2 linked regions of the Diceros bicornis minor genome follow. The protein of the gene in region 1 interacts with the protein of each later gene in a biochemical or structural test. Links are inferred from orthologs where the notes say so. Each region holds a gene or a part of one and is shown on either strand. Other genes may lie near its edges.

Region 1 (7,875 bases):
ACCCTAAATCTTATATAACAAGAGAGAGCAGCTGTACAAAAAGAATGTAAAATCAAGTACAATTCCTCTGGTAAACCACTGTTCTGATTTTTGACCATGAAAAAATGAGCAACTTCAAACTCACAAACCTAGCTTTCCAAGGAAATAGATTAGCCTCTACTGGTCGCACTATCTTAAAGAATCTGGAATGTTGGGGACATTCTTATGTTTTAAAACTACACCTTAGAAAATATCACAGAAAGGGATCATACTGATGCAGCTAGAAAATCAATTCCTGGTTTACCTAATACTCCTTACTCAATCATTCTAATGAGACACAATAAACTCTCCTATAGGGTTGCTGAGATCCAAAAACAGGGAGTTCCCAAATTGCTTGGGTTGTACTTTTTGCTCAGCCCACGCAATCATCTGCCTATGTATATTAATGGAAATGTCCTCCTTATCATTTAATCACAGCTGTCAGCTCTGGGAACACCTTTGCCAAAGGAAAACCTTTAAATACTATAATGCTTGCAGTATTGGGTTAACAACCAAGAGGGGAGATCAAACTCCAAGAACATGCAGTGTGCTCACAATTTCAGAAGGATAATGGAAGGTAAATTGAGGGCTCTAAGATCCATGTAGGGTGAGCGGGAGGAAAAATCACCCCAAGGAAAAATCTATTACATAAGAATACCTACAAATTCTGCATACTCTTAAAACATTTTAATATTGTTTTATTATATATATATAATTTTCATGTAATATAATGCCCAGATCTTTAATGTTCAGTTCCATGAGTTATGACAATTGTATATATATACAATTGTGTAAACTCCACCCAAAACAATGTATAGAACACTTCCATTGTCCCAGAAAATTTCCTTGATCCCTTTCTTAACAAATCACCTCCCAAACAATGGCAGTCACTTTTTTTACTTCAAACACCACAATTAATTTTGTTTCTGGACTTCATATAAACGGAATTATACAGTTCATATTTTTTTGTGTCTTTCTTCTTTTGCTTGAATAATCATTTTGACATTCATCCATGTTGTTGAGTGTGTCAATAGTTCATCTTTTTGTGTTGTTGTAGAATTCCATTGTATGAATGTCATAATTTGTTATCCCATTCTCCTGTTGATGGACATTTGGGCTATCTCCACTTTTAGGCTATATATGAATAAGGCTGTTATGAACATTTGTGTACAAGTCTTTTTGTGGACATATGATTTCATTTTTCTTGAGTAAATACCTAAGAGTAGAATTGCTGGGTCATATGGTACATATATGTTAAATTTTATAAGAAATTACCAAACAGTTCTCCAAACTGGTTGTACCATTTTACACTCTAACCCGCAATGTATGAGAGTTCCAATTGCTGTGCTTCCTTGTCTTCACTTATTGTTGTCAATGTTTTCGATTTTAGCCATTCCAGTGGGTGTAAAATGGTATCTCATTATAATTTTAATCTGCGTTTCCCTGATAACCAATACATTCCAAAGTATCTGAAAATAGCCCTTGGTCGAAGAATAAATCACAGGGGAAATTAGAAACTATTTTAAACTGAATGAAAATGAAAACAAAACATAACAAAATTGTGGGGTGCAGCAAAAGTAATGTGCTTTTAATGCTTTATTAGATAGTGCTCATATTAGGGGCCGCCCCGTGGCATAGCTGTTAAGTGCGCGTTTGGATCCCCGGGGCGCACTGATGCACCACTTGCCAGGCCATGCTGTGGCGGCGTCCCATATAAAATGGAGGAAGATGGGCACGGATGTTAGCTCAGGGCCAGTCTTCCTCAGCAAAAAGAGGATGATTGGCATGGATGTTAGCTCACGGCTGATCTTCCTCACAAAAAAAGAAAGAAAGAAAGTGCTCATACTAGAAAAAAGGAAAAGTGTAAAATCAGTGTTCTAAGCTCCTACTTTAAGAAGCTACAAGAACAAATTATATCCAAAATAAGTAGAAGAAAGAAAATAATGAAAATAAGAGCATAAATCAATAAAATAGAAAATGGACAAACAACAGAGAAAATACAAAGTCACAAGCTGGTTCTTTGGAAGAATTAATAAAATTGATAAATCCCTAGCAAGATTTATCAAAAAAAAAAAAAAAGCAAAAAACAGAGAAAACACAAATAACCAACATCAGGTATACAAAAAGAGATATCATTATAGATGCTACAGACAGTAAGAGGAAAAATAAGAAAATATTATGAGTGACTTTATTCTAATAAATTGGACAAGTTAAATAAAATGGATAAATTCCTTGAAAAACAAATTATCATAGTGGACACAAGAAGCAAAAAGAAAAATCCAAATAGTCTGAAACTCATTAAAGAAATTGAATTTATTATCAAACTCTTTCCACAAAGAAAACTCCAGGGCCAGATGGCTTCATTGGTGAATTCTACCAAATATTTATTTAAGGAAGAAAAAAAATAACAATCCTACACAAACTCTTTCAGGACACAGAGGAGGGAACACTTCCCAATTTGTTTTATGAGGCCAGGATAACCTTGATATGACAACTTGGAAAAGATGTTACAAGAAAAGAAAATTATAAACTGATATCCCTCATGAACATAGATGCAGAAATCTGATTACTATTTGATGCAGCAATTTCATTTCTAGGAGTTTATCCTAAAGAAGCACTCTTAGAGTTGTACAAAGACTAACTACAGGATATTCATTATGGCAATATTTTTAATAGTAAAAATTGGAAACAACTTAAATGTCCCCAAAAATGTGACCAGTTAAAATATAGTACATTTATATAATAGAATATGTGGCCATTAAAATATGGTAGAAATGTGTATTGGCACAGGAAAATTCACTATATATTGTTTATTTTAAAAGTAGATTACCAAAAATTTCAGGTGCTTTTACCACACACACACAAAACGTGAGGAGATAGATATTTTAATTATCTTGACTGTAGTAATCATATCACTATGTTTATGTATATCAAATCATCATGTTGTATACCTTAAATATATACAAACTTTATTTTAAAAAAAGAGGTAGATTACCAAATAGTATTATGGCAAGATCCTACATTTTTCAAAGAAAATATGTATTTATATGTAAGGAAAAAAGACTTAACTAAAAAAGAAAAAAGGGAAGGATATAAACCAAATATCAAAAATGGTTAGGGGTTGGATGATGGGAGTATGGTTGACTTTTATTTCCTTCCTTTTGCCTATCTGTATTTCTTACAACAAATATATATTGCTTTTCTAATACAAAAAAAATTATTGTTGAAGAAAAAAATTTAAAAATCTGACCAATGGGCATTTTTGTAACTCTCTCATCATATTTCCTAGGAAGAAAAGATTTGGGGCTGTGGAATGTTCCTCTTCACCTCCAACCTCAAATATACCCACCCTGGACGACTGGATACAGTTTTCCCCTCTTTGACTCACTGAGCCCACGGCGGCCCTGCCCTATCGGTCCATCCTTCTCTGTTCAGTAGGTGAGGCAGTATAAATTTTGCCACTGACCTACCGTATGACTTTTGGGAAGATCCTTCCCTTAGGGGCTCCAGTTTCTCCTCTCTAAATTCAGGAGATAGAATCAAGGATCTTCAACGTCCCTTTCACATGGAGGAAAGAACACAGCTTAAGAATCAGAAAACCTCGGGATGCACTTGAGTAGGTGGCACCATCTCCCGGGAAAATACTCCTTACTATTCTCCCGTGCAAGTGTCTCCAGCCAGATAATAAGCAACTTCCAGCCCAGGCGTGGTCTTATACCTCACTGGTCCTGGTGTAGGGATCGACACAGAGTGGTTGCTCAGTGAATCAGCTTTTTGCCTCCACCTCCTAAAAAACAACTTCAGAATAGGTTTTCTAGGGTGCTCCTGATGGTGATATGAAACACAAGGTTGTTTTAACTACTGGAGCTCACACTGTGTAAGTTTTTTCTGAGGTAATTGGTACAGTGCCTGTTTGTAACAATTCACCAAGCTTCAGCGAGGTCTGGGCACCTCTCCTACGACTGACATGCTGAGACATTGAAGTTGTCATTCAGGTAGCACCTTGGTTGGAAAGGCCATCTCAGGGCTGCCCGTGGCAGGCTCCAAGAACCACATTCCCGCAGGTGCCTAGGCTGTTACCAGGCGGCTTCTGGAAAGGGATCTGATGAGACCCTAGACTTCGGGGAAGTACCAGCTTTGCCACCGTGGAGCTGTGTGACCTTGGACAAGTCCCTTTCTCCTTAGGGAACGTTGCAACGGGCCTAAATGGCTCTTCCCGGGTCGGTCTATGCTGTGGGAACGGTCAAGTGATCTGGCAAACATTCGCCTTCAAACGTTTATTAATCTTCGATGACACGCGCGTGGCGGACCAAAGACCAGGTACTCAAGGGTCGCAGCGCGCAAACATCCACGACCCCGCGCCACGGCTCTCGCGAGATCTCCCTGCGCTTCGCGGCGTCATCCTCCAAGCGGCCGTGGCGGCGACGGCGCGTGAGATACTCACAGGGGTAGCACGTATCCCTCCGCCGCCGGCGCGGCCCGGCCCTCCTTCCTCTGGCCCGCCAATCCCCGCGCCTTCCGACCTGCCCCTCGTCCTGGGCCCACCCCGCGCTCCGACGGCCCCACCCCGGCGGCGCCGCCCGGCTGCGCGCCCGCGCGTCTCTTCGTCCACCTGCAGCAGGCAGTCCCTCTGGCTGGCCGACCGAGAGGCGCCGGCCGAGCCCCAGGCCTCGGCTCTTGCTCCCCGGCGGAGGGATCCGCGGCGGCTGAGGAGGCGGCGCTGAGCTTTAGAGGAAGAGGCAGCTACGGCGGCGGCGGCGGCGGCGGCGGCGGCGGCGGCGGCGGCGGCGGCTCGGGTGGCAGCACATAAAGGGGCCGCCGCCGGGTGATGTGGTGACCGCTGCGGCAGGCTCAGGAGCCAAGTGGGCCCCGGCCCTCAGTTCGTTCTGCCGGACCCGTGCTCCCGAACTCCCCATCTTCTCCGGCCGACCCGCGATCACCGAGGCGGCCTCGCGCCCCCTCGCCCCTTCCCCGTCCCTCCCCTGTCCCCGTCCCCGCCCCGGGGGCCGCCGCCACCCGCCTCCCACGATGGCTCTGAAGAGAATCCACAAGGTAAGCGGCCGGAGGTCGGCTGTGGGTTCGGGCCTCTGGGCAGGCCAGCTGAGCAGGCTGCGGCCTGCACTTCCCGCCGTCGCCTCCGCCGGGCTCGCGGCCTCTTCAGACCCGGCTGCCGGCGATGGCCCCGCCGGGCGGCCTTCACACCCCACTCCCAGTGATGGCGACCGCGGAGGCCCCGGCGCGCAGCCCGCTCTTAGGCCGGAGGTGCTCGCCGGCTCGGCGTTCCTCCTCGGCCTTCTTTCTAGGCGTTGCGTGGTATGGAGTCTCAGGGCCTCTCCTCGGCCTGGGAGTGCTGCACTGGGAGGCCATTGTCCGGCCGTGCCAGGAGTGGGGGCTGGGGCTGGGGCTGGGGCGTTGGGCGGCCCCATCGACAGAGGTCGAAAGGGCTTCTATCCCATCTTTGCCGGTTCTCCTTCTCCCGTCCACCTGCCCTGGCTCCTCCACAGAACCGCCTGAGCTTGGGGCCTGTATCTCAGGCAGACGGAGGAAACCTTTTTGTGCGATCCATAAGTATTTCTTGAGTTCACTTAGCTCTTGGCGGCCGCACACTTTTATCCACTCTGTTCGTCCAGAAACTGTTAGAGTAGGAAGTTCAGAAGGAAAAAAATATGACTCTTTTGAGGGAGGAGGGAAGTAGAGAGAGAAGCGTTTTATTCCTTGAGGTTGCCATATGTAGTCAGAAACTAACACTTCAGTTTTGCGGGAATGGATCTAATAGAAAAACTGTTCAATTGATAAGGGTGGAGGTAGAAACCTGAGCATTGAAAACCACTGGAGAAATTACACAAAGTTTCTTTTGACAGTCTCTTCACAAAATGGATCTATCTTAACGCTTAAATTAGATGATATGTTTAGGGAAACCCTTTTAATTTGGAAGGGATTTTGCTAGATTTTCCATTAGGCGGGATTTCTTTTACCTTTAAGATGAAGGGTTGTTCATCTAGTTATCTCCTAGTGTATGGACTTGGCTTAAAATTTAGCGCCCCCCACACACACCTTTTAGTGCCTCTCAGTATCACGTTTTTTTCCGTAGAAGTGAGGAAGCACCACTGGTGATTTTTGTTTGGTGTTTCACTTGGCTACTCGGAGAGGTTGTATTAAATCTCTAACCACTTAGTAAGAAGTAGATCCTGGGATCATCCATCCTCAAGGATGGGATGGAAATGCAAGGGGAAGAGAACCAATTTTCACTTTGCGTTACACTCAGTGAAAATGCAGATTGTTGGACAGTGTAAACACCTCAGCTCAGCAGTTGGTCTTCATTTCATTCTTGCTCAAAGACCGTTAATGTGGAAGTAATCCCAGTGGTTACTGTAAATTAGGTTAGATCCTTACCAACTTCTTTTGACTTTGATTTCTAACGAATGGAAAAGGGCAGACGTTAGAGTAAATCTTGTACTAAAATGAAACAGGTTATTTGTTAAAAAAGCTTGAACCTTAACCAAAGATCTCTTAAAGAACCATTTAAGGGGCAGGAGCACACTGAGGAATGGTCATCCAAGTAACAATATGTATGCATTTTTAAGGCTTTTAGTAGTTACTAGGCTCTTATAGAGTCTAATTGGGAAGTTATCAACTTGAGATCATACCTGTAGAAGATTGTGCTCTTATTTTAAAACCTGAAGAATTGTGAGTATAATGTGTGATAACTTACATATCAAGAAATGTAGCCTTTAATCTCTACATTGATTGATAGGTGTGTTTTTTCAGAGAGAAATAGCACTCAAAACATGCGTTTTAGTTTTTTAATATATTTTCTCCCAATAATATGGTTTTTTTTTTTGAGTTACTACATAGTCACTAGATTGTCTCTAAAATATGCCCTTATAAAATTTTAATACAGAAAATCAAGTTTAGATAGTGATAATTTGAACCTTTAAAACTCAGTAGTAACCTTTTTTCTCCCTGGTTTATAACCTGGAGCCCTAATCAAAGTATGGCTTGACTTCTGAGACTGCCAGGAATTAAAAAAAATAAAATTTGTTTTTGGTGTACTAGTCAATAAGATTGTGAAAACAAAATGGAGATCATTTTCTTTTTTCAGACTTTTTGTATGACATCAATTATAAGTTGAATGCAGACTGACATAGGTATGAATAAGACCAGTCATATCTTATCCTTAACCTAGTAATCTATCTATAATGGAATCCCCAAAAGACTTACTTTAATTGATCTTAGTCTTGAACCTTCCCACTTATCATTCTCTGAAAAAAATAGTTCTGCTTAAATACCCTCTCAACTTTAGATATCATGAACTGTTGCCTCTGGGTTCTAATAAAATTTTGCTAAGAACAAATACATTTTACGTGTCATCTTTAGGAATTCAATATCTTGTTTCTTTGACAGAGGGAAATAGTGTTCTGTGAATTTGACAGTCCTTTTAATGCCGTGTCTTTTTTGGGAAAAACTTTTGATGGATTTGATTTTGATACACACTTTTAGTTCTCCTGACCTGTGCTTTAACAGAGTGTACCAAAGAGAGTCATTATGAACATCCAGTATAGGTCTGTGCAGGGATTGGGACCCTTTGGGATTATTTGTATCTATACTAAGTGGCCCCAGCCTGCTATGTTTTGAGGTTTTCTGCTGACTTTGTAGGTCTTCAGCTTTGATTTTGATGCTTTGAGTGTCTGCCTCTAGCAGCACCACCCCCAGCCCTTTTCCAGTTGGTTGCATCTCATCTGTTGTGGGCTGGGAAACCAGATCACAGAGCTTATTAAAATTATGTCTAAAATAAGATCCAGTAGGCTCTGAGTGAAGAGAGCTTCATGTGTTCTGTGAACTGTGTGGTCTGTTAGG
Region 2 (8,040 bases), on another chromosome or scaffold:
ACCAAAAGTATTCTCAGGTCAATGAAGACTCTCTAAGGAAATCTATGAATACTCAAAAATCTACCTCACTTTTCCACGCATCCTGCTAAAACAAGTGTCAATGGAGGGGCTAAATTATTATATACTCAAAGTTTGTCAATAACAAAAACTAGTTGAAACAAATGGGACACTAACAGGGGCCAGTCTGGTGGCGCAGTGGTTAAGTGCTCGCACTCCACTTCAGTGGCCCGGGGTTCGCAGGTTCGGAGCCCGGGCATGCACTGACACACTGCTGGTCAAGCCATGCTGTGGCAGTGTCCCATATAAAGTAGAGGAAGATGGGCACAGATGTCAGCCCAGGGCCAATCTTCCTCAGCAAAAAAAAAGAGGATTGGCATCGGATGTTAGCTCAGGACTGATCTTCCTCACACACACAAAAAAATGGGACACTAACAGATTGTGATTTGGCAACTGTTTATAAAGACTTTTATCATAATAGTACTGTTTTAATGAGATTTACAGCTAAGAATTATTGTTTATCAATTCATCTCCATTCACTATTCATTCAAAAATGAAGACAATTAAAATAATGTTAATTTAGTAATACAGCCTTTATTTCCACCTCAAAAAAATTAAGATAATTATACCAAATTTTATGTCAACATCTCAAGCATTTTCTACTAAATACTTTAAAATAGCATTAAAATACAGAAACATCTGAGTTTTCATTTACTTATAACTGGAATTCACAATTATAAATACAAATATAAAATAAACAGTAAAAACGAAACGTGTTGAGCACTCAGAAGAATGGTTAATCAAACAAGTATTACATAAGAGGAAAAACATGGCATTAATAGCCAATCCAGTGACGAATTCTCTTTTACATTTCTGCACAAATTCTACATTATAACCTCTTAATAAAATCGTTTAAACTCTCCAAACTTCAAAATCTGTTTCTACTATTCCAAAAGGATGCTATTTGGGTAACATCCAACTTATACCCTCCAAACTGAAATTTACAAACCAATGATTTGCTTTAACAAAAGTACAACGTCATGACTTAACACCAAGGAAGAAACAAGCAGTCATAAAACATAAGTTTATTATCATCTGTATTTTCACGCCAAAAATTTCAAGTCAATTTCTTGGTACAGAAATAGCTACCTTTAAAGAAGATAAGTATTTATATTTTCCCAGTTCATAACATATTTTGAAAATGAATCAACCAAGCTATGCATTAAAATTAGTATTTTCTACTAATTTCTACTCATTCAACAAACGTGTATTTGTGTCATCACAATTATCATTACTGGAGTTACTTCACCTACCAGTTTTTATTTCTCAGAAAAGTTTTAACTGCAAAACTGCAGAAACTTTTAAAAAGATAGCTGTAAAACTCACTAGAGAAAATTCCTCACAAACTGAAGTCAGCAAATGGTTGAAAACAGATGGCACTACAGTAACCCCAAAGGAAGATGATGAAGGGATGTACTTACGTTTCAAAACAACGATCCACGTTGTCAGACATCAAAAGCAGCATGCATAGCTGTTCAAGGGCTATTAGTTGCATGTCCCTTTCATCTCCCTGTCCCATCTGTAGCCATTCCAGCAACGTATCTGGATCCACATCTGCCATGGTTTTTTAAAAGCCTTTTTGCTTAAATTAAAAAAGTAAAGTAAAAAGTCCTTTAAATGTCCAGGACTGATCAGCTTGGGTTTAAAAAGTTTTCTTTTACATCAGCTAGAACCAAATTTTCGTGGTGTCCTCCTAGAATTAGAGAAAACTCATAAGTATGTTTGGATAGAGCGCTTAATGCAGTTTTTCAACTTTCCTTATTCCTCAGGTTTACCGTTCACTTATCATACTAACTAAAAACCAGTTTTGCACAAGAGTATAAACTGATTAGGTTGTTGCTTAACTGGAAACCAGAGCAGTCTTTGTCAGTCAAGCTTCGGATCCCACTACTGCTATCACTAACTTCTGTGCCAAAAGGCAAAGAACACCTTACTAAAGGTTCTTTTTTTTCCAGCAAACTTCTCCCGTCCAACCCAAAACAGATCTTCAGATAAGGGTTAGATTCAGTATTTTGAGGAAACTAAGCACTTTGATCCAATCCCCCTTCAAATTAAGTTGCTGCTTTAAAATTGACAAAACCTGCTGACGACTTAACTTACCGCTCTTCTTAAGATGTCCACCCCACATACAAACGATAATTAGACACCAAATCTATCTATGACTAAAGGCTTGGTTAGGAATTTTGGCAGTCTTGGCAACTGTTCTTAAAAGTTTAAAAAGAATCACTAAGAGCAAATGCAAGGGAATAGCACGTTACGGATCAGAGTATAGGCCAATCTACGGCCCTCTCTCCCCATCTCTACAGAATGGGACAGTTGGCTAAGAAAAGAGACAAAACAGAGAAGCAGCCCCAACAGGCAAGTGCTTACAAAAGCTCGGAAGCGCCCGGCGGGAGGACAGCTTCGGGGCCCGCGTACCCAGCTGCAGGTGTGGGACTCCAGCGGCGGGGCGCGGTGGGCACCCAACGGCGGCGGCCAGCAGGGTGACCCAACACCCCGGGCCCGGCCGAGCCCCGCGCCGGGAGGCGAAGCCCCGCGCCCTGGTTTCCCGGCACCAACCCCGCTAAGTTAGCTCCCCGTATCGGGGAGGAGGGGAAGTTCTGGAGGAGAAGCAGCCAGCCTCCGGGCCGAGCGGCGCCCGGAACTCCGAGGCCCGGCGGGACGTCCCCGGGCCGGCCGGGAGGCGAACCCTTCTCAAGGGCAAGGGGGGCCCGTCTTGGGCCCGGGCTCAGGCAAGCCGGGCCCCGCCGCGGGCAGGGCCGGGGGAGGGGAACAAAGGGGCTAAGCCAGGGAGTCGGCAGCAGCCCCGCCGCCCTCACCCGGGGCCGGGGTCTCGCTCCCGGCCCGCCGCCGGGCATCCCCGGATCCCGGCCCCAGGCCTGGCCCTTCCGACCGCCCACGGCGCTCCCGCCTTCCCTCCCCTCCGGCTCTTACCCGGGCCTGTCGTCCCAAAGCGCTCCGGTCCAGCTCCGAGCAGGCCGCGGGCAGAGCCAGGCCCGGCCGCGGCCCTCGAGTTCCCAGGAAGCCGCAGGCCGCGCAGCTCGAGCCGGGCAGGCGGCACAGGAAAAGCCGCGCCTCGTCCCTCCCCTTCCTCCGCGGGGAGCCGGTGACAGGCAAGCGAGAGGTTCCCCCGACCGGCGGCCGCCAGCGCACTTCCCGTCCCCAGCACGCGGCTCCTCAGGCCCTGCAGCTCAGAGGCCCGCGCGGTGCTGCCGGCGGCGGCGGCGGCGGGAGGCCGCGTCCATCGCGATTCCGGAGGGGGAAGGGAAGAGGGTCCGGGCGCGGAGGCTGCGGAGGGCAGCCGAGCTCGGCGGGGGCGGAGCAAAGCGACGCTCCTTGGCAGCGACCCCGCCGGCCGCCACGAGGGGCGCTGCGGAGACCCGTCGGCCAGCGGCGCGGGGGCGCCGGCCCGGGCGCTCTGGCCACCGAGCCTCGGGCTCGCTGGCCTCGCCAGCTGTCGCTTGTCTCTCCGATGCCCTGGCGCCTTTACGCTTCGCTGTCAATCCGAGCGCGCTCCCGGGCCCCGCGCACACCGGCGCGCGCACGCTCCGCTTGTTTTGCACGGCGTCTACACACTTGGCGTGCTCCCGCCGAAGGCCCCACGCTGCGCGCCAACGCTGCGGCCCAACCCGCGCCGGCCGAGCCTCCGGCCGCGGCGACCGGTCCTCCGCCAAGAGCGTCGCCTCCTCCCCGCCGGGCCTCGCCTGGCCTCGCGCACACGGAAGTGCGTCGCGAGAGGAAAAGCAGACCGCGCCGCAGTTCGCCAGGAAGAAAAGCTTTCACCACAACCCTCGGAAGTAAATATTATCGAGTGTTATCGCCATTGTGCAGATGGGAGAACTGAGGCTCCAGAAACCGTAAATTCCACTGGCGTCCCCAGTGAGCAGCAGCGCTGAGTGTGCTTTTGACTCTTTTTTTCTGCGGGTTGAGGTCTCAAATGTGTCCGTGGTTATTCCCTTCAAACGTTTTAGTTTACACGAATTGAAAATAAAATATGCCTGCTTATAGGTCGTGGTTGGAGGTGTTTAAGCTGTAATGAATTGGAAATGTGAGTCAAATAAGAAAATGAATCCCTTGGTTTGTGAGATAAGTAAATCCATGCCTCAGACACTCCCGCTGTACTCTCACTTTTTCATCTTTTAAACAAAAATGAATCTTACACGATAGTCTTTGAGATGTATTCCTTTAAGCAATCGGAGGAGCTGCTGCATATGCTTGAAGAACCAGTATTTTGGAAATTACAGATTTGCACTTCACATATCTGTGGCACATGTGCTACTGTCGCAGGTAATGGTCCCTAGGTCACCTATTAACAGATCAAGTCAGGAGAAAAAGGTAGAGGATTCTACTAACTTGTCACAACTACAACACATGAGAATAATTATTTGGGAGCTATGAATATGACTTGGAGCTGCCAGGAAAATCTTCAAGGAGGAAGTGGCATTCTTTCTGGACCTTGAAGAATGGGTAGAATGTCGACACTACAGGGAGGGGGAAGAATACAAAGCCTGGTATGTTCTGAGACAAAGGAAAGAGGCCCTGTGCCCCAAGCAAAGCACCTGCATTAAGCAATGGGAGGGAGAGAAGGTAGCAGCTAAAGTAAGCAGGGCCTTGAATGCTGAATGCTGAATGCAGAATTTAGGCTGGAGTAAGTAACAAGTTACTACAAGTTACTAGTAACAGTGGACTAGAACATTGACTGGAAAAATTAAGTCTTAGAAAGATTTCTAGGGCAAAAATGTCCAGTGGCTAAAAGGAGCTACCTAGACAAGGAGATTAGCTGAGAGGTTGCTGAAATCCTCCAATAGTGGATGGAGGAAGAGCCTAGTTACTGGCAATAAGAATGGAGAAGAAATACATCTAAAAAAAATTTTTTTTAAAGATATGTCAAAATTTAAATGATTAACTTCAATTAGTTTTTTAACCTGCAGAAAGGTCTTGGAAGCTAGGGAAATGATGATGCTATTAACAGAAAATAGAGAAGTTGGAAAAAGTGACTACACTTTTCAAAGTTTTGAAGGTATATTTTCCTTTATTCCCTCACCATCTCTATCTGCACCACCCACTTCCTACCCCCCCCCCAAAATTAATGACTGTGGTATGCTTTAAAGAAATCTATCAAGAAAATGCTGTGACTTTTATTGTGATTTTATTATGACATTATTATCTTAAATTCAAATATGAGATCCTAGAACAAGAGCATTAAAGGAAAGGAATTAAGCCCTGAAGAAAACAGAGGAAGCAGATGAAGGCAATACTGCCCCTACTTGAATCTATATCCCAGGAAACCAGGATATGTTTACATGCTAATAATCCACCTCAATGTTAAAATCTAAGAATAATGGACATTGAGAATTTTTATGTGCCAGGCACAGTAACTCATAGGCCTCATCTTCAATAAACTATAAAAGTCTAGGAGAGGGTAGATGTAAACACACTTCCCGTGTCGGCCTCTACGATAGTACTTATCCCATAACATTGTCAGGTACGCTGGAAACATCAAGGAGGTAATGGTGTCTTAGAAGGCTTCGAAAATGATGCGCGGGCTGGATCTCAGATGTTGAGTTGGAGCTAGCCAGACCAACTCCATTAGGTCTCCATTAGGAAGACCATGTGGAGAGGCATGGAAGTATGAAGAGGGCTCCTCTTGGGCGAGCAGAGGGAACAGGCCACCTTTTGAGGTAGGCCTCACTTTCACGAAGGATCTTCAATATACACACAGTCACTAGAGTCCTTTCACAAGATCAAGAAGGAAGAGATTCATCATTTACATTTAAACTCTTATCCCACCCACAGGCATTACTATAAATTAATTTTTTAAATAAATCATTATCTTATGGATAACACAACTATATGGCATTAAATTTTTTATGTATCAAAAGCATCCAATGGAAAATTCCAATAGAGTAAAAAGAAAAAATAATAATCACCTACCACCGTGAGACTGTCATTAACACTTTGATAACGTTTCTATGGCCTTTTTTCTAGGCATAAACATGTAAAATCATATATATTACAGTTTGTGATCATATTAGTAAACAATATGAAGTTAGTATGACATTAAACAAGTCTTAAGCCCTTTTCTTGGACTTCTTACATCACCAAAGTCCAAAATTCATCTACCCATCCCCATCCAAACTCACGTGTTATTCAGGGAATCGTTTTGATCCCTTTTATCAGCTAGCTAAAGAAGCCTGAGGGCCAGGTTTAAATTAGCTGAGCCTGGAAAACTAGCTGCTTTACTTCAGCCATGAGGATTAAACTTCTACTCTCAGAGATTATGTGTCTGCCATAGCAGAGTTCGAGAGGTGAGCAGTTATTCAAGTAAAGCTGCTTAGGAGACAAATCCATCTAGGTCATTCAAAACCAAAATTATCTTTTACTTCCCTGGAGGTCATTTGCCATAGATTATCTGAATCCTTGTCTTTAAGACCCAGGAACGTAAATCGGAATTTAATGTAAATGTGGAGCCTGGGGAATAGTGTGTGATTTACTAGGTAAATGCAAATGGCTTGATAACACCCGCAGACTAGATGTATGTATTATTAACGTGGGAATGTGGATATACTGAGGTATTCTAGAGGTTAAGGCAGGGAGCTTCTTGACCAAGGAAATTAACCACCAAGCTTTCAAGGAAATGTTATCTGTACTAGTTTTTCTTTGAAAATCATCATGACTGTGATTTCAAAGTTTTTTATTATTCAATTTCTTTTTTTTTTTAATTTTTTATTTATTTATTTTTTCCCCCCAAAGCCCCAGTAGATAGTTGTATGTCATAGTTGCACAGCCTTCTAGTTGCTGTATGTGGGACGTGGCCTCAGCATGGCCGGAGAAGCAGTGCGTCGGTGCATGCCCGGGATCCAAACCCGGGCCGCCAGCAGCGGAGCGCGTGCACTTAACCGCTAAGCCATGGGGCCGGCCCTATTATTCAATTTCTTTAGGCTTATATTCAATTTTCTGATGTGTACATAATATGTATACACAAGTGTATATATTTTTATATGTATAAGTATATATGTATATGAAGTTTATATATACATATATGTGTACACGTCACATATATGTATATATAAACTTCTAATAACAGCTTTATTGAAATATAATTCACATACCATGATGTTCATCATTTTAACATGTACAGTTCAGTGGCTTTTAGTATATTGACAAAGTTGTGCATCAGTTACCACTATCTAATTCCAGAACATTTCCATCACCCTTAAAAGGAAATCCCATACCCATTGGCAGTCACTCCACATTCTCTCCAACCGCTAGTCCCTGGAAATCACTAATCTACTTTCTATCTCTCTGTTTTTACCTACTCTGGATATTTCATATAAATGGTATGTGGCCTTTTATATCTGGCTTCTTTCATTCACCAGTATGTGTTCGAGGTTCATCTATATTGTAGCATGTGTGAAAACTTCCTTCCTTTTTATGGCTGAACAATATTCCATTGTATGGATATTCTACTTTGTCTTTATTCGTCAGTTCATGGACATTTGCGTTGTTTCCAGTTTTTGGCTATTATGAATAATGCTGCTGTGAACATTCATGTACAGATTTTTTGGTAGACTTATATGTTTTCAATTCTCTTGGGTATATACCTAGGAGTGGAATTGTTGAGCCGCATAGTTTAGCTTTTGGAGGAACTACCAAATGTTTTCCAAAGCATCAGTACCATTTACACCAACAGTGTATGAGGGTTCTACCTTGTTATTATCTGTCTTTTTTATTATAGCCATCCTAGTGGGTATGAAGTAGTATCTCATTGTGATTTTGATTTGCATTTCCCTAATGGCTAACCATGTTGAGCAGTTTTTATGTGCTTATTGACTATTCATACATCTTCTTTTGAAAAATGTCTATTCAGATCCTCTGCCCATTTTTAAATTGGGTTCTTTGTCTTTTCATTGTTGAGTTGTAAGAATTCTTTACGTATTCTGAATAGAAGTCCCTTGTCAGATGTATAATTTGCAAGTATTT

What was found. The genes of interacting proteins can lie anywhere in the genome.
Region 2: the proteins of UBE2D2 (region 1) and HECTD1 form a complex in vitro, tested with the Homo sapiens proteins (2 studies listed by BioGRID). The link is inferred for Diceros bicornis minor from reciprocal best matches to the Homo sapiens genes UBE2D2 and HECTD1.

What each region holds. Positions count from the first base shown.
Region 1 is NC_080740.1:57,893,983-57,901,857, forward strand, and holds the start of UBE2D2 (ubiquitin-conjugating enzyme E2 D2), read left to right. Parts: upstream 1-4,790; 5' UTR 4,791-5,046; coding exon 5,047-5,070; intron 5,071-7,875.
Region 2 is NC_080744.1:17,489,381-17,497,420, reverse strand, and holds the start of HECTD1 (E3 ubiquitin-protein ligase HECTD1), read right to left. Parts: upstream 3,078-8,040; 5' UTR 2,992-3,077; intron 2,559-2,991; exon of another isoform or gene 2,428-2,558; intron 1,751-2,427; 5' UTR 1,619-1,750; coding exon 1,479-1,618; intron 1-1,478. UniProt on the Homo sapiens protein: E3 ubiquitin-protein ligase which accepts ubiquitin from an E2 ubiquitin-conjugating enzyme in the form of a thioester and then directly transfers the ubiquitin to targeted substrates.